Linked DNA regions of Caenorhabditis elegans. The protein of the gene in region 3 interacts with the protein of the main gene of each other region in a pairwise test. Each region holds a gene or a part of one and is shown on either strand. Other genes may lie near its edges.

What was found.
Region 1: the proteins of puf-8 (region 3) and pab-1 interact in a two-hybrid assay, tested with the Caenorhabditis elegans proteins (one study listed by BioGRID).
Region 2: the proteins of puf-8 (region 3) and ncbp-2 interact in a two-hybrid assay, tested with the Caenorhabditis elegans proteins (one study listed by BioGRID).
Region 4: the proteins of puf-8 (region 3) and sftb-1 interact in a two-hybrid assay, tested with the Caenorhabditis elegans proteins (one study listed by BioGRID).

Annotation. Positions count from the first base shown.
Region 1 is NC_003279.8:10,432,199-10,437,650, reverse strand, and holds pab-1 (Polyadenylate-binding protein), read left to right. Parts: upstream 1-2,412; 5' UTR 2,413-2,419; coding exon 2,420-2,675; intron 2,676-2,726; coding exon 2,727-2,920; intron 2,921-2,972; coding exon 2,973-3,563; intron 3,564-3,609; coding exon 3,610-3,894; intron 3,895-3,942; coding exon 3,943-4,356; intron 4,357-4,406; coding exon 4,407-4,607; 3' UTR 4,608-4,790; downstream 4,791-5,452. Other genes in the region: madf-10 (MADF domain-containing protein), read left to right, coding at 1-41, 90-285, 330-739; rpl-30 (Large ribosomal subunit protein eL30), read right to left, coding at 807-981, 1,035-1,183, 1,364-1,387; Y106G6H.1 (Saposin B-type domain-containing protein), read right to left, coding at 5,368-5,452.
Region 2 is NC_003279.8:7,641,354-7,645,519, reverse strand, and holds ncbp-2 (Nuclear cap-binding protein subunit 2), read left to right. Parts: upstream 1-2,191; 5' UTR 2,192-2,278; coding exon 2,279-2,347; intron 2,348-2,440; coding exon 2,441-2,622; intron 2,623-2,716; coding exon 2,717-2,925; intron 2,926-3,028; coding exon 3,029-3,045; 3' UTR 3,046-3,063; downstream 3,064-4,166. Other genes in the region: rrf-1 (RNA-directed RNA polymerase), read left to right, coding at 2-181, 234-369, 422-948, 1,253-1,502, 1,553-1,672, 1,720-1,880; F26A3.1 (Lipid droplet-associated hydrolase), read left to right, coding at 3,753-3,903, 3,954-4,136. UniProt on the Caenorhabditis elegans protein: Component of the cap-binding complex (CBC), which binds co-transcriptionally to the 5' cap of pre-mRNAs and is involved in various processes such as pre-mRNA splicing and RNA-mediated gene silencing (RNAi).
Region 3 is NC_003280.10:7,295,067-7,300,086, forward strand, and holds puf-8 (PUM-HD domain-containing protein), read right to left. Parts: upstream 3,182-5,020; 5' UTR 3,164-3,181; coding exon 3,041-3,163; intron 2,908-3,040; coding exon 2,622-2,907; intron 2,576-2,621; coding exon 2,482-2,575; intron 2,436-2,481; coding exon 1,569-2,435; intron 1,525-1,568; coding exon 1,361-1,524; intron 1,312-1,360; coding exon 1,238-1,311; 3' UTR 1,049-1,237; downstream 1-1,048. Other genes in the region: C30G12.6 (uncharacterized protein), read right to left, coding at 1-619, 667-949; C30G12.1 (uncharacterized protein), read left to right, coding at 4,505-4,621, 4,670-4,770, 4,818-4,926.
Region 4 is NC_003281.10:4,262,778-4,271,544, reverse strand, and holds sftb-1 (Splicing factor 3B subunit 1 domain-containing protein), read left to right. Parts: upstream 1-2,274; 5' UTR 2,275-2,278; coding exon 2,279-2,422; intron 2,423-2,494; coding exon 2,495-2,774; intron 2,775-2,820; coding exon 2,821-3,483; intron 3,484-3,535; coding exon 3,536-4,279; intron 4,280-4,329; coding exon 4,330-4,417; intron 4,418-4,821; coding exon 4,822-5,056; intron 5,057-5,106; coding exon 5,107-5,376; intron 5,377-5,435; coding exon 5,436-6,371; intron 6,372-6,418; coding exon 6,419-6,847; intron 6,848-6,896; coding exon 6,897-6,962; intron 6,963-7,349; coding exon 7,350-7,463; 3' UTR 7,464-7,762; downstream 7,763-8,767. Other genes in the region: R10E4.1 (BTB domain-containing protein), read right to left, coding at 218-378, 424-917, 1,126-1,274; depd-5 (DEP domain-containing protein), read left to right, coding at 8,497-8,670.

The DNA.
Region 1 (5,452 bases), on a different chromosome or scaffold from region 3:
GTCCTACACCACATTCTCACATGACACATGTTGTTCCTCAGGTATGTAGGTGTGCAACTAAATAACACTGAAATTCACAACAAATTCAGCAAAAAGAAGAGGTTCAGTACATGATGCGTCAAGTAACAGATAGTGTTAGATTTGCAATGTGTGAAGCAATTGCACACAGACCGGGTCTTTGGGATTCAACACGAGAAAAAGTGAGCTCGGCAGCACGGAAAAATCTCTTTGCTGAAGTTGTTGAGGTGATTAATCAACAGTTCGTGTTGAGCCCTCCGCTCACAAGTAAGTTATCATTTCTACTTCAGTTATAATTGGTTTTTTTCCAGTCGAAGAAATCGAAAAGCATTGGAAAAATCTGAAAGACACATACGTGAAAACTCGACGGAAGTTAACATTTGATCATGATGGATGCCCTATACGACCGAAATGGAAGTTTTTTGATTCGCTCATGTTCCTGGACAGTGTGAATCAAAACGATTTTGTGATGAAAAAACGTCCGATGCAATTCCAGGGACAGCCGTACGATTTATACCAAGGTCCCTCTTCTAAGAAAGAGAAACTAGAAGAAATGCCATCTGACGAGTACATGGAATTCTGTCGATCGTTGTACCTCCCATTGAAAGAAATAGGATACAAGGATCGCATACACTGGCTGAAGATCCAAAAGTCCATCCGTGACATCGTTTACGAAGCGCAACTGGAAAGTGTTACTAAAGCCGCACCTGATTTGCAATAAACAATTTGTGTTAAAAATACTGATTCTAAACTGTTTTCAACAATTTATTGTAACAATAACAAACAGCTTATGCGCTCTCAGATGGAACGCTGAGGATGATGTCGGAGTCTCCGGCATCAGTGACTGCAAGGGTGCACACACGGAAGAGACGTCCACAGGCGGTTCCGAGCTCAATGTTGTTTCCGTTGTAGTGGTGAACTCCAGTTTTGGCGAGCATGGCGTAGTACTCAATCTCGGACTTTCTGAAAATTAATCATGAGTTAATAAAAATCCGAAATGATAAATATTGATTTACCTGAGTGGTGGAGTGTTGTTGGCAATGATGACAAGCTTAGCCTTTCCGTTGAGAAGGGATTTGAGAGTCTGCTTGTATCCGAGGACGTATTGTCCAGTCTTCATGACCATGGAGAGTCGGGAGTTGATGTTCTCAGCATTTTTCTTGACCTAAACGAATATATGGATCATCAGGCGTTCGAATATTGGAGAATTCGCGAGCGCTTACATTGAGCACCCGAAGCCCGTGACAGAATGAGCGGGGAAGCTACTCCTTCTCAATTAAATCACCCGAGCTCCGGATTACTCCATCGCTGCTCGAAAATTTAACTCCAGAGAAACTTCACTAACCTGTGGCTTAGCAGCTGGAGCCATGATGATTTACCTGAAAATAGAAAAAATAACTGCGTGAACTTCTAATTTGAGCCACGTAAATAGAGCAAAAGAAGGACGGCACATTAAAAAACAAATAACTTCAAAACGTCTTTACGAAAGCGATCATCCGTACTACTTCAGAAAATTTCAACGTCTCAAAAAATAAGTGGTAAGAAATTCAATTTATAATAGTTTACAGCTTGAAGAATTATATAAAAAGGCGTTTATCTGTTGAAAGTTTGCAACTAAAAAACAGAAATAAGTCGAATAAACTAAAATTTGGTTTCAAAAACATAATTTTCTGCAAAAAAGAAACGAAACAGCGAAAAGTATCAGATTTTGGGCCAGAAATAGGGGCAAAGCAGCGATAACTACGGTTCGCGATGCATTTCGTGGCGAGACCCATCGGCACATTCCCTCCTCCCTTGAAACACTAGTGTGTCTTTTTCCGGTTTTTGGGATCCGAGTTCTCCTGGCTCTGAGCAAAAGGACAGTAAATCCCAATTTAAACTGCTCAAAAACCCATAAAAATTTAAAAAACCCTAAAAATCACCAAAAAAATTATTCTTTGGACGATCCGACACCAAAACGTGAGTTTTATTGATTTTTCCTATTTCGTAATTCGAACCGTTACTTGTTTCCGTGCTAAATTGTTTTCTATGATTATTTGGGAAGGACATATAGTTTTCTGTCTCTTTTTGTTGAATAACAAGTAATTTTTTACCGATACGAATAATTGCTGCGTGTTTCCCGATCGATACTTCCCAGGTCCCGAGATGTGAGCGTTTATTAGACAATTAGGCTAACTCCGCCCTTTCTGCTATTCTTAGCGTACTATCGTCATTTGCTCTTTAGTTGTAGGTAGGCAGACACTACATTAACCCGCGGTCTGGCTAGACGTCGCCTGACTTCCTCGCTAGACGTTGTTCCGTGACCCAACTCCTCACCCATAATAAAAAAGTACGGAAATACGTGACGGTCACTAAAATATTACTTCTATTCTATTTATTCAATCTTCAATTCAGTAAAATCATGGAAATGAACGTCGCTGCTCCCGCTGCCGCCGTTGCTGGCGCTGCTGCTCCTCAACCAGGCCAAAATCAGACCGGCTCGTCGTACACCATGGCTTCGCTCTACGTCGGAGACCTCCACCCGGACGTCAACGAGTCGATCCTGTTCGAGAAGTTCAGCGCTGCCGGCCCTGTTCTTTCTATTCGTGTCTGCAGAGACAATGCCACTCGTCTCTCATTGGGCTATGCCTACGTCAACTTCCAACAACCAGCTGATGGTTTGTTTGTCTCCAAATTCACTTCAATCTTTAATTCAATTCAATTTTCAGCTGAACGTGCCATGGACACCATGAACTTCGAGGCTCTTCACGGCAAACCAATGAGAATCATGTGGTCTCAAAGAGATCCAGCTATGCGTCGTTCGGGAGCTGGCAATATCTTCATCAAGAACCTCGATAAGGTCATCGACAACAAGTCAATCTACGATACCTTCTCCCTGTTCGGAAACATTCTCTCCTGCAAGGTAACGTTTTCTTTAGAGCATTGCCAAACCGCCTTCAATTTATGTTGTACAGGTTGCTATCGACGAGGACGGATTCAGCAAAGGCTACGGTTTCGTTCACTTCGAGACCGAGGAAGCTGCCCAAAATGCTATCCAAAAAGTCAATGGCATGCTTCTGGCCGGGAAGAAGGTTTTCGTTGGCAAATTCCAGCCACGTGCTCAACGCAATCGCGAGCTTGGAGAGACTGCCAAACAGTTCACCAATGTCTACGTGAAGAACTTTGGAGATCACTACAACAAGGAAACCCTTGAGAAGCTCTTCGCCAAGTTCGGAAACATTACCAGCTGCGAAGTCATGACTGTCGAGGGAAAGTCCAAGGGATTCGGATTTGTTGCTTTTGCTAATCCAGAAGAGGCCGAGACTGCTGTGCAAGCTCTTCACGATTCAACCATCGAGGGAACTGACTTGAAACTTCATGTCTGCCGTGCCCAAAAGAAGTCTGAGAGACACGCTGAATTGAAAAAGAAGCACGAGCAACACAAGGCTGAGCGTATGCAGAAGTATCAAGGAGTCAATCTCTACGTCAAAAACCTCGACGAGACTGTCGATGATGATGGCTTGAAGAAGCAATTCGAGTCTTACGGAAACATCACGAGTGCTAAGGTTGGTAAACTTTTTCAAAATGCTATCATATACATAATATTTTTAGGTCATGACTGACGAAAATGGGAGATCAAAGGGATTCGGTTTTGTCTGCTTCGAAAAGCCGGAGGAAGCTACAAGTGCAGTGACTGAGATGAACTCAAAAATGGTGTGCTCAAAGCCATTGTATGTGGCTATTGCTCAACGTAAAGAAGATCGTCGTGCACAGCTTGCTTCTCAATACATGCAACGTCTTGCAAGCATGAGAATGCACGGCAACGTTCCAGGAGCAGCCATGTACAACCCAACACAGCCAGGACCAGGATACTATGTTGCTAATCCGATGCAACAGGTTAGTTTTTTGTTGTTTTTTTTGTAATGCTCGAATTTATTATTTCAGCAGCGCAACTTCGCCGGTGGACAACAGATGGTTCGCCCAGGAGGTCGCTGGGGAATGCAAAATCAGTACCCAGTCCAAAATCAGTACATGATGGCTCAAGGCCCAGGTGTCTACCAAAACCGCATGGGACGTCCACAGAACCAACAAGGAGGACCACGCGGTCCACCACAGCAGTACAATCAAGTCGCTCAAGGAGGCGTCCGCATGCAGGGACCACCACGCACCCAAAATCCTGGAGTCCAACAGCAAAACGTTCCACGTCCACCACAGCAACAACAGCAGCAAAGACCAGCTCCAACCGGACCAAAGGCTCCACCACAGCCATATCAGGCATACCAGCAAAGACCACAAGGAATCGTTATTGGAGGACAAGAGCCACTCACATCTGCAATGTTGGCCGCTGCTGCTCCTCAGGTAAGCTTACTTTGTTTTGCAATACTTAATTTCATGATACATCTTTTCAGGAGCAAAAGCAACTTCTTGGTGAGCGTATCTACGCTCTCATTGAGAAACTCTACCCGGGACACAAGGACGCAGGAAAAATCACAGGAATGATGCTCGAAATCGACAATTCCGAGTTGATCATGATGCTTCAAGATAGTGAATTGTTCCGCTCGAAGGTCGACGAAGCTGCATCGGTTCTCGTTTCCGCTCAGAAGCAATAAGTTCATTGCCAAGTGCTCTTAGCACGTTCCCCCAGTTGCTAAGCATACCCATCTCCTGTTTTTTTTTCTTACTGTCACCCTTCTTTTTGTTACTTGTTAGTGGTTGGTTTAGCCGCCCCACACCCCACCCCTTGAGTAAGCTCACTTTTGTGATGTTTATTCACGTTAAAATAAAATCATAAAAATAATCAATGTTAATGGGCAAGTTATAGAAAAAAAAGAAGCAATGTTACACAGATGCCCTTCGCAAACGCATTCGACACCTTCCATCTCATCCCACAAAACAGCTTTTCTACACCCAATAGGAGAATCGGATGGAACGCAAATTCGTTGTTCACGTATCAAACCATCTGAAATTCGAAGCTGACTGCAATTGTATAATAATTAACTCACTAGTCATGGGCGCTGTTCGTCTCGAACATTTCGGACCAACACATGTTGAACCATCGAAATCACAATAACCTTGAAATGAATCGCAAACGAAACATTGCGTTGAAATTGTTATAGGAATTAATATTAAACAAAATGCTACACTTCGTTTCATCGTGAACATTTAGTAAAATGAGTTAAGTTTTGGTATCCGGTGAGAGTAAACATTTACTACTTGAACACAGGAATTCGACTACTGTTCGTGACTCTAGAGACTATTAATATTGGAGAAAGGAAAGTCAGCGTTTTGTTTAAAGACACAAAATATAAAAGAAGAATCAGCAAAGTAAAAAGTTTATAAAAATTAAATTATGCAATTATAAGAAAACGTCTAAAGTTCATCGTGAAGGTTTCTTTTCTCGAATTCCATATGATAGTCTTTCTTTTCTTTTTTCACTTTCGTTTGTCGAATATTT
Region 2 (4,166 bases), on a different chromosome or scaffold from region 3:
GTCTATTATGGAAAACTACGGTATCCGGTCGGAAGGTGAAATCATGTCAGGATGCATTGTCGAAATGAGAAATCGAATTTCGGATAAAGACCAAGATGATATGTCATTCTACAACACTAATCAAATGATTGAAACAAAAATGACATCTTTAGTGTGCAAATTCAGAGAAACGTTCTTCGAGGTACAGTTTATTTCAATATTTATTTATTTTTTAATTTCTATGCCATTATCAGGAATTTGGTGGATTCACAGTAAAATGTACACTTTTACCAAATGCTTACGATAACGGCAACTGTCTCAATTACCGTTGCGAAGATCCAGATCAGGAGGTCAGAAAGAAAGCTGTTGCCTGGTATCGAGCTTGTTACGGTAATTCAATTTTTTTGTTTCAATTTTTTGAACTATTGTAATTTCTTTGTAGAGTGTGCTCAATCCACGAGAGAAGTTCGGAAGCTTTCATTTGCTTGGATTGCATATGACGTCATTGCCAAAGTCAAGGAGACTAATGTATTGAATAACGAAAGAATGCAGATTGGTGGAGCAAATCCCATGTACACTTTCCTAGAAGAGCATCGAAAACAATATTTGATTGATCACGATGCGGATTTCAAGAACTTCTGTGAACTCGATCATCTAATTACCGGTGAAAAATCAAAAGAAGCGATTTCCATTCTGAAAATATATCTGGAGATGATACCAGGGTTGGACTCTGTGTTCTTCATGTTAATGCGATGGGGAGAATCATTACGATTGTTTGATGGAAAACCAATCAAGATTTATCACTTTTTCCTCATGTTCATTCTTTTTGCAACACGACAATTGGCATCTGCTGATGGAAATGCAGAACCGTTTTTCAAAATAATTGAAAAAGAAGAATATGAGAAACAGAAAAGAGATTCATCGAGAGGCAATATCGATCCACTTACTGAAAAAAAAAGATCAGATATGGTAAGGAATAAGGGGGTCATCGAACATCGTCGATTTTTCGATTTCTTCGAAAAAGTATGAAAAAAGAAGAGAAACCTTTGAATTTTGTCTATAAACATCTATATTTTGATAACAAAAATAAAAAATTCATTGAAATATATAGAGAAATTATAGGAAATTGTAGAAAAGTTGAAATTTTACCGAATATAAAACAAAAAAAACTTGAATTTTCGATTCATCAAAGTTGACATAAGTCCATTCAGCTGTATGATTTGTAGTCCAACATTGGCGAGAAATTCAAAGCCGAATTGTGTATTTTTTTCAGATGGTCAAATTCTTCCAATTTATGGGATGTCGGAAGTTCAGAAAAATGTCGACTTTATCCTTTTGTCCTCTCAACTTCTCATCGATTTTTATGCGTGGAGAATGGCGAATATTCCATGAATCAGCTCTCAAAACCTACTACAATATTCTGTTTAATCTACGTTTTGAAGAGCTTCCAGTATCATCTGATCCAACAATTACAGCTGAGACGATGGATCGAGAGTGTGAACCATTTGTTATCGAGTTACCCGGTATGTAAAATCTTTTGGAAATAAAAAAAATTGAGTTTTTTTTCATTTAGAAAATATAAATGTGAATGATCTGATCAATAATATGAAGAAACACACAAATGTTTCAACTGTAAAGATGCGGCGACAGGAGAAAAATCCGATAAACGATAAGGCGAAACCAAAGACTACAGGTAATTAAAAACTCTTCATATTGGTAGCATAAAATAATTGTTTTCAGTTCGTTACATCGTCTCCGTCTCCGGAACTCTCGAATCAATTCAAATGCTCAAAAAGCTTTCAGCAGTTACAATTCCAATCAAAAGTCATTGGGAAGGAGAAGAAGTATCACAACAGATGGCATCTCTTTGCTATCAAAAAGTTATGAATGGTGAATTTTAATCTCGTATTTTTGTTGAAATATGCCATAGACTCTGTTAATGTTTTTTCTTCACTTACATTTTCAAACCTTGTACTATTTTTTCTGTTTTATTTATTTTTAATTCCTTCTACCATTTGTATTTGTGTGTAAACTGACCAATTCCATCATCAAATGATTGATTAATAATTTTAAAATATTTTCTCCGTGGTATAAAACATTTATTTATTTTAGATTTTCGTTTCGTAATCGATATTCCCAATGTTATTTCGTTATCCAATATCTGCTAAATGAGGGTTGATAAAATCCAAATTCAAATAACCTCGGGTTTCAGTTAAACAACACGCGCTACGACACTCCGTTCTCTTTTCGAATTTTGTTCGCTGAAGAGTGTGTCTGTTTCTTCGTTCTTTCTTTTAAAATGGTCTTCGATCCAAGAACATTGGATAATCCTAAGGAAATTAGTGCTTACAGAGATCAAAGATACCAGGTAAGCCTTTTGTTTTAACAACTTTTCGGGTTTTTATCGAATAAAAGGTGTTGTTGCACAATACGAATTCAAATTTGTAGTTCTCAATTTCAGGGAACCGTTCGAGACCAGGAGACTGCTCTACGCACATCATGTACACTTTATGTTGGAAATTTATCATATTACACTAAAGAAGACCAAGTCTATGAGCTGTTTGGAAGAGCCGGTGACGTCAGAAGAGTGATCATGGGATTGGATAGATTCAAGAAAACTCCTTGCGGATTCTGCTTTGTCGAGTGAGTTTTTTCCGCGATTTTCATTGCTTCTCTGGACTTTTAACCCGAACAAATAAAATTTAATTAATTTTTATTTTTATTTATTGATTTCCAGATACTACACAAGAGAAGACGCTGAGCTGGCTCTTCAGAACATCTCAAACACTCGTATGGATGATCGTGTAATTCGTGCTGATTGGGATGCTGGATTCATTGAAGGACGTCAATATGGAAGAGGAAAACACGGTGGACAAGTTCGTGATGAGTATCGAAAGGATTATGATCCAGAAAGAGGAGGCTACAATCGCGCTATTGCTCAAAAAGGTTAGCAGAATAAAAAAAAATGGAAAAATCGTTTTAAGTTGTTTCAAATTGGTTTTTTTATTCGTGTGACTATTAAGAAAAATGAATCTTCTACATTTTTCAGGCGGTGACCGTCAATAATCGTTTCCAAATCCATCCAACACGATCCTCAATCATCATTCTTCAAACAAAAAAAATCACAAAATCTGAAAATTATTACCGTATATTCTCTATTAGTGCTGCATCTCCAGTAGTACTGCAGTCTCTAATAGTGCTGCACTCAAAAAGGGTCCGAAAATTAGTGCTGCAGTCTCTATTAGTGCTGCACCCCATTTTCTACTGAAAGAGTCACTCAATACATAGTTTTGACATTCTGGGGAGTGTTTTGTATATTTTTGAAGATTTCTAGTTAACTTACAAACATAATTGAGTTATTAGGTCATTTTTGTTACAAAATTTCACAATTTTAATGGATTTCTGCTTAAAAGGTGAGCATTTGTGACTAAAAACTAGTGATCTCCAATTGAAAATAGCCGTTCGAAAATTAGTGCTGCAGCCTCCAGTAATACTGCAGTCTCTAATAGTGCTGCACTCAAAAAGGGCCTGGAAATTAGTGCTGCATGCAGCACTAATAGAGAATATACGGTATCTCTGTTTCCATCTTGTTTTAACGTTTTATTTATTTTTCTGTTTGTGTTTTCTTCTCCAAACTTGAGATAAAGCCATCTTCCTCCATCGATTTTTTACAGATGTTTAAAAATAATTATTGAGGCAGGTGAAAATTTCCCAACACAATATCATTCTTTCTAACCGCATTTTTCCAGTTTTTCTTATTTATTTACATATAGATGACCTCAATTCTTCGAAAAGTGGAATGGGTTCGAGTAGCAGGGAAATGGACGAAAATGTCCGTCATGGGGTTGGATATTTCAGACGAAACGCTGAAAATTCAGAAGAAAAAGGAGAACGAGAATCGAGTGATTATTTTAATGATTCCAGGTAAATCGGGAAATTGCGCTTTTAAAAATTTAAGAAAATTTTAATTTCAGGAAATCCCGGAAACGAAGGATTCTACGCTCATTTCGGACGAGAAGTTTTGCAAAATTTGATAAAGAAAGATGAAGATGAGCAGAAAAACTTGAAAAATCAATATTTATTCTACACAGTTTCAAGTCTCAATCATGTTCGAATGCCAGATCATTTGAAAGATGATGGAGAACATCGAAATCATGGTAATAAATACAAATAAAACGAAGAACCGT
Region 3 (5,020 bases):
TCACAACATGTGGTTTTACATTCAATATCGTGGTCCCACAGTGATAGAGCAATTACAGCTTTACATCTAACTTCTGGCGACTTGTCCAACAAACTCTTCGCCAATTTTCCCATCCATCGGTTTTTCACTCCGCTTGGAATCATAACTTCACTCTCTGTAGGATCTTCATCAGAGAGGAATGCGTCATCTCCATGCTCCCGCATAACATCAGCATACCGATTCGCTTCTTCCATAAGACACGCGATGAGTCGATAAATGCGACAACGAACGAAAGAATCAGCGTGCAAATAAAGACGATCGACAAGAAGAATCAGCTTATATAGAAGATCACTGCACTTCATTGACTTGTTTTTAATTGCAAGTTTTGCGATGAATATCATAAGTACATGCTCGGCCTCCTCAGCACCTTGATCTCGTTCTCGTTCATCAACAATAATCGATATAAGCCCTTCAATTATCGAATCAATAACAGTATTCCGTTTGCAATCTAACATAGTTGACTTGAAAATTATTTTGTGTGCGACGTCAAAAAGTGCTATCGCTGCAGGCTCTGCTCTATATGTGACTTCGGTGAACACTCTTCTTATACGAGCTGTCAGAACATCCAACGGAACTTCTTCTGTAACATGATTGTCTTATAACGTTTATATATACTCACAAACAAACCAATCGTCAAAAGATTGAAGTCCTCTTCATTTAAATCCAGCTCCTTCTGTTCTTGTATGACTTCTTCATTAATTTCATCTTCTCCGTTTGCATCATCACTTTGTTTACTTACTGAGCTCTGAATAGGCTCATCGAAACTGTCGTTTTGAGGTTCGTTAGCTTTCGATGAAGCTTCTTGAGAATCAAAACTGTCTTCACACGCAGGTTCTTCAAAACTATCTTCATCGTTATCCTCTTCTACCATATCATCGAAAAGATTTCCGAGATGATCACCAGACTCCATCTCAAACATTTAGATTTGTGCGAAAACGGTTTTCAAGTAATTCAAGATATATAAGGGAGATATATAAACATCTTTAAAACAAATGTTCAACAACTTTTTTTTCAAATTTTTATGCTAAAATAAGATTAGGAAAAAATTACAAAACGAGTAACATTACAAATTACGATAAGCTGTCTACAGAAATGCACAGGGAATAACAAAAAGAACCGGTATAACAACCGGATTTGAGATAACTAAAGGTACATTTGTGAGGAGTTGAGTGTTGGGAATAGTACAAAACTGATTGGGCTAGTGAGATCCCTGCATATCTTGGTATGGATAGCTCATGACAGCCGGCTTTTGAAAATATTTTTCAAGTTTTGCTGCAAATTAAGGTTGAATATTATTAAATCATTCTTTGCAATATCTTACCAAGAATGTGCTTTCCATGAGGGAATTGTCTCAAAACGGGAATGTGTGGACGAACAGTTAGGATGAGTTCACGGCGCTGTTCTGATGTAACCTGATCGAACATTTTCTGAACAACGTAGTTGGCGTACTGATCTTTCATCATTTGGACAACAATCGGTACAGATCTGAATGAAATAATTATATCTACATTTTTCATGAATATACATACCCTTCCTGATGGTGACACGCAGCTCCTACGATCATGGACTTGTGATAAACTGCGCCTTGTTCCAAACATTTTTCGATAACGTTCGACGAGTACTTGTGGGTGGCAAACTCGAATAGATTGTTGGAGACACGAGTAACAATAACCATTCTATCCTCTTCACTTCCATGTTCAATGACGTGTTGAACCACATAGTTTCCGTACTGATTATTTGCAATTTCGTCGAAACGTTTATGAATTTGGCCGATAACAGGCTTCGTCTGCGAAGGACTGCAGTGTTCGAGACAACGTTGGACAACACGACAACCGTAGGGATCCACAGACATCTCGTAAATTGTGTTGCTGGATTCTAGAAGCGTATCGACAATGAATTGGACGTACTGTGGACTGACTTTCTCTATGGCCTTCTGAACCACGTGGTTTCCATTTTGATCTTTCATACAACGATGGATGACGTGTCGGATTTGAGAAAGAATTTTTATTTGAAGTGGCTCATTGATTTTTTCCAAAGCTTTCTGAAGAACACGGCAGGCATACATTTGAAACGCGTATTCTGGTACACGATCAATTATTGCATCGACGAGCCGAGCCCAATGCCTTTCTTCGCCATATTCGAAGAATTTCTGCACTACGTAGTTGCCGAAAATATCATCAACGAGCTCATCAGCATTGGAAACGACTTCATCAAATATAGAGTCCTTCTCGAATCTGTCCTTACTGGAAGCAAGTTCCTGTTGAATGAATCTCGAGCCAACTTGATCTTTGGCAAACTTCAACAGTGCTCCACGAATGTCTGATAATTTTAAATTCTTCATCATGGCTGGATTTGCACGATATCTAGTTAGAAGATCGTCGGTGGTTGTTGGTTCCCTGAAATATACAAATATTTAAACTATTTTTGAGTTTAGAAAAAAACCTGTAGGGATTTGAAAATATGCCTGTGGCAGACGGTTGAACCGGTACACGAATACTTTGAGAATGCGCTTGGTGCATTTGTAAATCATTATATGCTGTAAAAACGGAGAATTTCCATATTCGAAATATGTTTTTACTAACCTTGTGCTTGTAGCATTTGTGTCATTTGATTCGAAAACATATTAGAACCATTGTATTGATGATTCATGTAGTTGTTATTGATAGTACTCAAGACATGACCGACATTAGAGCTGATTGGAATATTTTCTTGAGCACAATAACACGATGGTGGAGTTCCGAACATGTGCAATGTATTCTGGCCAATTACTTTTCCTCCTTGATGCATGTAAGTGGCAAATTGAAACTCTGGTGTATCGGGAAGGCGTTCATTTTTTGGATTGGTAGAAATATGACGGCCATACGATCTCTGAAATCATTGTTTTATTGAAAATTTAATTGACAAACACTGCGGCAAATCTATCAGTGTGATTTATTGCATGAACATTGTATTTCTATTCAAAATAAAAAATAATTTCAATATTGCAATAAACAAGACTCACAATCGGAGATCCGCATACACTATCCACTATTTTCTGAGCACCGATGCTCCTCCCAAGAGATTCAATCGGAGAAGCTGAAGGATCAAATGTGCATGTATTCCCAATTGAAATCGGACGACTCATCAGGAACGCAGATTACCCCTAAAATAATTACTTTAGGTCAAGGAGGCATAGTTCAGCTTGAAAAAACAATTGCAACGCGTACTTTATTTATTTTTATTAATTAAAATAGTTGCACATGAGAATTTAGAACATTAAAATGAGAAAACAATGAAAAACAATCAAAAATCACTATTTAGAACAGGAGTTCCGTATTTATTCGGATAATTTTCGAACGAATACCGTAGTCGTGGTGTTCGTGGTGAAACCCATTTCTCCATTAAATGCATGTTCCTTTAAATTATTGAGGTTCCGCACGCACTTGAGAGTCCATGGAAAGGAGAACTGGTGAAAAACTTAATATACGAAAAGGTAATATGCTGAAAGGAGGCGTGGCATGTAGGAGAGTAGAAAAAACATTTTTTTCGACTTTTTGAAAAAATAGTAGGCTTGGATTATGTAGTTTCAATATGGTGTCGGGTACTGTATTTTCTGAAAACCCATGTGATTCGAGTTCGCGGCGAGACCTAATTCTTCAGGGACCTAATTTTATACGAATCCCAAGCTGACCTAGTGAAGACCCTGTGTAGATGTAACAGTAAATGTAAACATAGCATTTATATTAATCTCCGTTTTTCTGGAGATCAAATGCTAAGTAGATCAATTGAATATACTTGTGCTCTCAGAGATACCTGCTCCAAAGTCGATATTTCCTCACTCTCAACTCTTCAGAACTGGCAGAAAGTGTATGAATGAGTGTTGTTATGCATAGTATTGAATATTCTAAATTTATTTTCCATGTGCTTTGTGCTTAACATAGCTTGACCGTTTTGATTCTTTCTTTACAATGAAATGGATATACATCTTCATCTTTTTATTCTCGGGAGTCGAATGACCGTTTCAAAAACTTCAAAGTGTGTAGAGCATGCAAAAGCAAACAACGTGAAGATTCTCGACAAATTTAGTTTTTTTTTTTCTTCCCGACCGTCCGTTCGCCGGCCATCGTATCAAATTTCCTCCCACCTCTATTTCATTGTCATCTCCATTCCAACCCCTTTCTGACCTTTAACGAGAATTAGATTTTGTCTGTTTGTGTATATTTAATTTTGGAAAACAAAGCCTCACATCGAAAAAGGTTGCAGGCTGGCCGATCGTACGAGCGTATTGTGTGTGTGTACGAACATAGAGCGTCCGATTGCATAAGGTTCGTGTAAAGCAGCTTCCGGCCGTGGGAACAACACCATAGTTTGTGTGCCGAGAAGCGACGCCCCTTGTCTCCTCACAGTCCCATCTTTGTTCTTGCTTCGTAACTTGAACTCATCACGACCAAATAGAGTCTTTGACTAGGTGTACCCTTTGGTTGCCATGGTTAAAAGTCTTCATTATTTTATATTACCTTTAATTGGTAATGCCCTAATTCTAAATACACCACCTGAATATCAACCTGGATATGGTTATGTTGGACCAGCATGTGCTGTATTTGTAAGCATTCGTAGAAAACAATTTGAAAATATCTTCCAAATCTTTCAGGACAGTACCCTATTCCTTCATGGTGTTTCCAAGCGAAAGTTGAATGATCACGAACTACACATATTTAGTTCGTATCAGCATGATCTAAGTGCATTCAAAGAGTTTGTCATTCTATTCTCGATTGTTTTGAAAATTAAGCGTTTTACAGTTCATCATCTTCATTTGATTCTTTCGAAGCCTCGTTTCCTACAATTCCAAAATTCTGTGGAGGGTATGATGATTCTATTGAAGTGGTGTTGGATTCTTGTATTGTTCGAGTAAGTTTTTTTTTCCAATTGTGTATAGTTAGAACCATCTGGTTTTAATGTAAATCTTCAATATTACGGTATCAGGGGTCGACACGATCGGAAA
Region 4 (8,767 bases), on a different chromosome or scaffold from region 3:
GTGTTTTTCAAAATTTTAAACTCAAATTAATATTTTTTCCGATGGTACAACCCATTTTCTTCATTTCTATACCAGTTTTTCATTCATTCAATATAATGAATTATAACATTGAAACAAACAGTTTTGTAAGTTTTGCAGAAGATTTGCCGCCCACGCTTGTTGTAGATACCGGGAGCAATTCATAGTAAATTCCCCACAAGTCCACGTTTGAACGTACCAAAACTCTTTGCATCTTATACTTTTCCACGTAAGAGAAACATTTCTCCGTCTTCTTCTGATATTCATGATAATGTGCACACATGAACATCTCACACGCATCCACAATTGGTTGACATTGATAACGATCTGCGAGTTGGAGAAGATAGTCGAGGCTTTTCTCTGCAAATTTGATAATAATTCGATTCTCAAAATTGTGGAACATACTTGTAACAGGTTGTCTGTGTGGATAAATACATCTGAGGAAAGTTATAATCTCACGGAACTTCTCTTTCATCTCATAGATTTCTTTATCTTCACCCAATTCTCCATAGAATAATGCTTTAAAGAATGGAGACATCATTGACAGATATCTTTTATTCACACGAATAAGACGATCTTCAACTTTCAACAAAGCATTCTCTTCTTCTGGTAGAACATCAAAATAGTCGTAGAGCATTCCGAAGTTCATAGTTTTAATGACATTCACTGTGATTTCTACTCTCATACTTCTCAGCTTCTCTCGAACCATATGATCTTGAAGCTTCAATGGACGAAAGTAGACATGATTGGATCCTGTATATCGTCCAGTAAACTTTTCGCTTCTCACAGAGTTTGTAACGTGAGCCCGAATTTCGAATTCAACTTCCGCTGACCAGGTGGCTGGAGTTTTGAAGTAAGCAGCAAAGCATTCGAAGGAATTTGCACGCAACTCAATTTGCCTGACAATTCAGTTTTGTTATGGGATTATATTATTTCTCAGAAGCAACGTTGATCGATTTCCGTGCAAAAATACGGTTTCTCGAAACGACAATAAAGAGTACTGTAGTTTCAACTTCTTAAAAATTATGTTTTTTTTTAACCATAAAGCCAAAATTCAGCGTTTTTTCCAGAAAAGTGAACAATTTATCGTTTAGAAGTAAAACTGACCATTTCATACACTTCAAATGAATCCAATATCTGTAGACTTTGTGCTCCTCGTCTAGGACCAAATCAAGAGTCTTGCTACTCTTAAAATCATCACTTAAATCCACAATATCCACTGGATACTCTTCAGCGGCAGCCTTGTTCGGAGCCATTTTCAGACTTTACCCTGAAATTTTCGATAAGATTTTGTTGGGGAAAAAAGAATCTCATAAAAGGAGAAAAGGCATGAACTGAAAAAGAAGCACGTGGCAGACCGAAAAAAACGGGGAAATCGATAGAAAAGGGTTGTAGGGGCAAGGAGACATCTAAACAACACACATGCTATATGCTGCCCCAGTATTCTGCGTCTCTTCTCTCTCTCTCTCTCTCTATAAGAACGAGAAAGCAAAAACATGATAAAACCACTTAAAAAAATAAGAAAGCTTTTATTTTAAATAAAAATTTAAAAATAAGAACATTTTAGTTATGCTTCAATTTTAAAGTGGCCACAATGTTGGTGAAAAAAAATTAATTTTTAAAAAAGTTCACAATTTTATTGGAAATTTGCTTATAAAGTCGATATACGTCGAAAGAAACACTAAAAAACAACAAAAAACAGAAAAGACCTACTAAAACGAGCAACTCACCATATTCCAAATGAAATGTCAAAACTCTTGAAGTGAACACAATCTTCGATCTTCCTCCACTGATCGGAGAGCGCGCCAGCAGGTGCTGTTGGCGCGCGACCGGTGCATTGACGCGATTCTCGTGCAAAATTTCGAATGCAATTTTCGCCTTTTAAGGGACAGTTTTCAGTTATTTTACGTTTAAAAACTTTTAAATTATTTAAAAAAAAACAACAGAAAAACTTTAAATATTGTTGTCTGTCTGATGTTCATAAAAATTCGTAAGATAATCCATTATTTTTCAAGGGTATTAATATTTTAGTTTCTTGAGTGTATTTCTTTGAATATTGTTCATTGTAAAAGGATTATGGTTTCCATTTCTTTTTAGTGATTTCATTAATAAATTTTTGCAATTGTTTATTACAATTTGAAAATGGTTTCGCGCAAGCTATCGAAGTTTAGGATGTTGTTTTCTAAATCTTTTCTAAAAAAAGTTTTTTTCCTTCCAACTTTAATCTTTCTTCCATATAATCAATATTGATTGTAGATCGATGTCTCGTTCAGGCGAGGCTTATGCGCAGGAGTTGAACCGCAAAAGGGTCGCAAACCAGCGTGCCGCGGCAGCCGAAGACAACGATGAGAATAAGGGAAACGGAAATAAAGTGGCCTTCGGAGCCGCTGGTAATTTCGACACGGTTAGTGAATTCTAATACTTTATTTGAAAATTTGAAAATTCTCTATTACTTTTTGAATCTTTTCAATTTCAGGATGTTTACGGAAGTGTTCGTGGTGAAAATCGGGATAGTTACCTAGACTCGATTGGAACCGGAGAAGAAGATGACGTCGATGAGGATTCGATGCCGAGTGTACAAAAGAAAAGTACAAATTATGCACAGCCACACAAATTCATCGAAGAGGTGGCTGCTGCCTCCGAGGACACTGATCCATTCGCAGATACTCGCACAAAAACCATCGCAGAACGACAATCCAAGTATCACGAAAGAGCTATGAGGAGACAGATCTCTCCAGACAGAGCGGATGCTTTTGGTAAGATCGAAAATCATTTTGACTTTAATTAAATTTATTCTTTCAGTTGATCAAACTCCTGACAATCGGAATCGAGGTTACGCAGAAGTTATGCGTGATCAGATGTACCATGAAGAGAAAGGGCGTGTTGAACGGGAGCTTGCCGATCGAGCAAAAGCTGGAGAGCTTCATGTTACTGGACAGCCAGAGAAAAAGAAAGGAAGATGGGATGCTGAAGCTCCATCAACTGATGCATCTTCTGATAATCTTGGTGCAGCTTCTGCAACTCCATCTCAGGGTTCTGCTCCACGAAAAAGATTAGGATTTTCGAAGATTAGTGCAGATGCAGCAACACCAAGAGCTGCTAGATGGGATGAAACACCGGCTCACTCGACTGGAGCAGCTGATGCAACTCCTTCTGTGGATAAATGGTCAACGACTCCGGCAGCACAGACCCCGAGAAGAAATCGTTGGGATGAAACTCCAAAAGAGAATCTCAATGATGGATCAATGACACCGGGATGGGGAATGGAGACTCCTGCTAGAGGAGGATCAGATGATGTTAAGATTGAGGATACTCCATCCGCATCGAAGCGTCGTTCACGATGGGATCTGACACCATCACAAACTCCGAATGTGGCAGCAGCTACTCCACTTCATTCCGGATTACAGACACCATCATTCACACCGAGCCACCCTTCACAGACTCCAATCGGAGCAATGACTCCAGGTTTATTACAAAATATTGTAATTAATATAAAATTAATATAAAATATATTCAGGTGGAGCAACTCCAATTGGAACGGCAGCAATGGGAATGAAAACACCAGCTCCTCATATGATTCCAATGACACCTGAACAAATGCAAATTTACCGATGGGAGAAGGAAATTGATGACAGAAACCGTCCATTGACTGATGAAGAACTCGATTCACTATTCCCACCTGGCTACAAGGTTCTGGTTCCTCCAATGAACTACATTCCTCTGAGAACACCATCACGGAAGTTGATGGCCACTCCAACTCCAATGGGTGGAGCTGCTGGTGGAGGATTCTTTATGCCTGGAACACCAGATAGAGATGGAATCGGAGAGAAAGGAGTCGGTGGTCTGGTGGATACTCAACCTAAGAATGCAGAATTACCACCTCTAAAGCCAGATGATATGCAATATTTCGATAAGTTGTTGATGGATGTAGATGAGAGTCAACTCACGAAAGAAGAGAAAAATGAACGGGAAATTATGGAGCATTTATTGAAAATCAAAAATGGAACCCCGCCAATGAGAAAGAGCGGATTGAGAAAAATAACAGAAAACGCGCGAAAGTACGGAGCAGGTCCACTTTTCAATCAAATTCTTCCACTTCTCATGTCACCATCGCTGGAGGATCAAGAACGGCATTTGATGGTAAAAGTTATTGATCGAATTCTATACAAATTGGATGATCTCGTCAGACCATATGTGCATAAGATTCTTGTCGTCATTGAGCCACTTCTTATCGATGAGGATTATTATGCAAGAGTTGAAGGTTTGAAAATTTAGAATAAATTTTAAAATTTAAAAATTAAATATTTTCAGGTCGTGAGATCATTTCCAACCTTGCAAAGGCCGCTGGATTGGCAACAATGATTTCTACAATGAGGCCTGATATTGATAATGTTGATGAGTAAGTTTGTCGACAGTTTTGTTGATTTTTCAATTAAACAAACACCAAATATATGGTTGTTCAATTTTCCCTGGAAAACAGTAAAAAAATTGAAGAAATATTAAAAATTAGTTTGAAACTATAGAAAATCTGGCAACTTTTGGCCATTTTTGAGAACTTTCTGAAACGTTCCAGCTGAAATTAATGTTAATTTCAGATTAATCAAGTGATTTTCTATAGGTTTACACTAGTTTTTAATTTAAAAAAGTCCGAAAAGACCGAATTTTTTCAAAAAAAGTTTTAAAAATGTATTTTTTAGATTTTTAAAAATCTCACTATGAAATTCGGTATTTGCGGGTCAGTTTTAATGAATTTAAAGCAGAAAAAACATCACAAAGCTTTTAATCAAACCCAAAAATTTGCAGATATGTCCGTAATACAACCGCTCGTGCATTCGCTGTCGTCGCCTCAGCTCTCGGAATTCCAGCTCTCCTCCCATTCCTTAAAGCTGTGTGCAAAAGTAAAAAAAGTTGGCAGGCTCGGCACACGGGTATTAAAATTGTTCAACAAATGGCCATTTTGATGGGTTGTGCAGTATTACCACATTTGAAAGCACTTGTTGATATTGTTGAAAGCGGATTGGATGATGAACAGCAAAAGGTTTTCTTTTTAATTTCTAAAGTTTCTGGAATTGATGCAAATCGTTTCAGGTCCGAACTATCACTGCTCTCTGCTTGGCAGCTCTCGCCGAAGCTTCATCTCCATACGGAATTGAAGCTTTCGATTCAGTGTTGAAACCTCTTTGGAAAGGTATTCGTATGCATCGTGGAAAAGGTCTTGCTGCATTCCTTAAAGCTATTGGTTACCTGATTCCATTGATGGACGCAGAATATGCTTCATATTATACAAGAGAAGTGATGCTCATTTTGATTCGCGAGTTTGCATCGCCAGATGAGGAAATGAAAAAGATTGTTTTAAAGGTGAGTGATATAATAACCAAAACATTCGTAGAACTATCGTTTAACATTTAAATTTGCAGGTTGTCAAGCAGTGTTGTGCAACAGACGGAGTAGAAGCGAGTTACATTCGAGACGAAGTACTTCCAAGCTTCTTCAAAGCATTCTGGAATCAAAGAATGGCTATGGATCGTCGTAACTATCGCCAATTGGTTGATACAACTGTGGAAATTGCTCAAAAAGTCGGATGCGTTGAGATGATTGCTCGAATTGTTGATGATTTGAAGGATGAAAATGAGCAATACAGAAAAATGGTTATGGAAACAATTGAGAATATTGTAGCGTTGCAAGGAGCGACTGATATTGATGCTCGACTTGAAGAACAACTGATTGATGGTCTTCTTTATGCTTTCCAGGAACAAACTCAAGAAGATTCTGTGATGCTTGATGGTTTTGGAACAATCTGCTCAAGTCTTGGACGACGTGCCAAGGCATATATCCCACAAATCTGTGGTACTATTCTGTGGCGTCTCAACAACAAATCTGCAAAAGTTCGTCAACAAGCTGCTGATTTAATTGCCAGAATTGCACCGGTTATGCATATGTGTGAAGAGGAGAAAATGATGGGACACATGGGAGTAGTATTGTATGAGTATTTGGGAGAAGAATATCCAGAAGTACTTGGATCAATTCTCGGTGCATTGAAAGCAATTTGCAATGTTATTGGAATGACCAAAATGACTCCACCAATCAAAGATTTGCTGCCAAGATTGACACCAATTTTGAAGAATCGTCACGAGAAAGTGCAGGAGAACTGTATCGATTTGGTGGGAGCAATCGCTGATAGAGGATCTGAATTTGTATCTGCAAGAGAATGGATGAGAATCTGTTTCGAGCTTCTCGAATTGCTTAAAGCTCACAAGAAAAGTATTCGAAGAGCTGCAATTAATACATTTGGATTTATTGCAAAAGCTATCGGACCACATGATGTTCTCGCAACGTTGCTCAATAATTTGAAGGTAGGCTCGGATTAGAAGTGATTCTTTTAAAATAAATTATTTTTCAGGTCCAAGAACGCCAGCTCCGTGTGTGTACAACAGTCGCCATTGCCATTGTTTCGGAAACTTGTGCCCCATTTACAGTACTTCCAGCAATTATGAACGAGTATCGTGTACCTGAAATTAATGTACAAAACGGAGTTTTAAAAGCTCTTTCATTCATGTTCGAATACATTGGAGAAATGGCAAAAGACTACATTTATGCAGTTGTTCCGCTGCTCATTGATGCATTAATGGAAAGAGATCAAGTTCATCGTCAGATTGCAGTCGACGCAGTTGCTCATCTTGCTATTGGAGTTTATGGATTTGGTTGTGAAGATGCACTTATTCATTTATTGAATTATGTGTGGCCCAATATGTTGGAAAACTCACCGCATCTTATTCAACGATGGGTGTTTGCATGTGAAGGAATGCGAGTTTCGTTGGGACCTATTAAGGTTTTTATTTTAAATTCTTAATAATTTCAAAAATTAAAATTCATTTCAGGTTCTTCAATATTGCCTGCAAGCTCTTTGGCATCCAGCGAGAAAAGTTCGAGAACCAGTGTGGAAGGTAATTATTTTAGTTTCCTTGAATTTTCAATTACAGAAATAGTGGAAATATTCGGAATATAGCTTTTAAAATATTTATAGAATGTTTCTAATTTTTTAATGATTTTTTTCAATTGAATTTTTATTTTTCAGAGAAAATTTATTTTTATTGTGAAATATCTTCTTTTTTTTCGACCAAAAGTGAGCGACCGGAAAAATTGAAAAAGGAAAAAATTAAATACAGGTTGCGCGGGAATTCAAAAATGTTTTGGTACTTCTCAAATTTTCCGCAAAATTTAAAAAAAGATTAGAAAATTTCTATAAATTTTTTAAAATTTGTATTCGGAATATTGAGACGTTTTTTCCACAAGCGCTAAATTTTTATGTAATTTCATATTAATATTTCCAGGTCTTCAACAACCTAATTCTTGGCTCCGCAGATGCTCTTATTGCCGCCTATCCACGTATCGAGAACACCCCAACAAATCAATATGTCCGCTACGAACTTGATTATAATCTTTAAATAATTTTCTAATTTTTGTTTTTTTTATTTGGATCTCGATAACTTATTTTTCTATCTCCGTGTTCCCTCCCTCCTTTCATCACATTTTCATAGAAAACGAAACCTTTTATATTTTAATCCCATTTCCCTCCAAATATTCTCTTGAATCTAGATTAATCTAACAAAATTGTTTTGGTTGTCAGTGGTTTTTTTTTGTTTTTCTATTACTTTTCTCCAATATCAATCAATTTATTCCCAAAAAAAAAAACAACAACAACTCTTGCGATAGATATTTAAAATGAAGACTTGTCAAATTATTTTAATGTTTTAAAGAAATCCCTTTTTTTTTGTTGAAGTCAAATTTCGCTTATTTTTTCTCGTTTAAAAATTTTTTAAATACCTTAAAAAATATCAGAGTTTCCTAATACTCTCCAAATATAAAAATAATTTTCTAATTTTATTTTTGGCAAAATTATCTTTAAAAAAGAAATTTTACAAATTCTTTCAATATTAGTTCCTTAAAAACGAAAATTTTGCGCTTTTTGCAGCAACAGTACAGTGGCTGGTCTCGAAACGACAAATGTGTATTAAATGCAAAAATGGTGTGCGCCTTTAAGGATTACTGTAGTTTAAGAATCTCTTTGTTACGGAATTTTCATCGATTTTTCATAATCTTCTTTCAATTTTTATTTTTCTAATCGAAAAACTTTTGTTTGCACAGAATTTTCATCGATTTTATCTCAAAAATATATTTACTCATACAAATATTAAAATACTTAAAATTTGAACAAAATCTATGAAAATTATGCAGCTACGATATTTTTGTTAAACACATTTTTGCATTGAACTAAAATTGTCGCGTCGAGACCGGTTACCGTATTTTTTGTACAAATGTTCGCGTCTTTGTAATAATTAAATTCTCTGAAAATTAGTTTTTCTCAAAAAATCGATTTTTTTCAGTCATCCCTTCCAAGTGAGCAAAAGAATTTCGAAAATCTTCGTTCAAAAGCGCAGGTGCTGCTTTGGTCCGTGAAGGCGGTGTGGATCCACGGGGATGGCGTTCGAAATAGCTGGACCCAGCAGCAGCAATAACTCAAGTCAACGGAGAGCAACCACTGAACCACCGCCTGAAAATGAGCTACAACTTGGACTTCACGAGGCACAGAAGATGACATGGAATGCTAAAGTCGTGTATCACACGATCGACAAATGTCCGCATTGTGATCCGGTTCGTAATGGATAGGGCACAGAATTATTCATTAAAATACTGAAAAATTAAAATTAAAGTAAAGTTAAAATACTCAAATTACCTCAATAGACCGGTT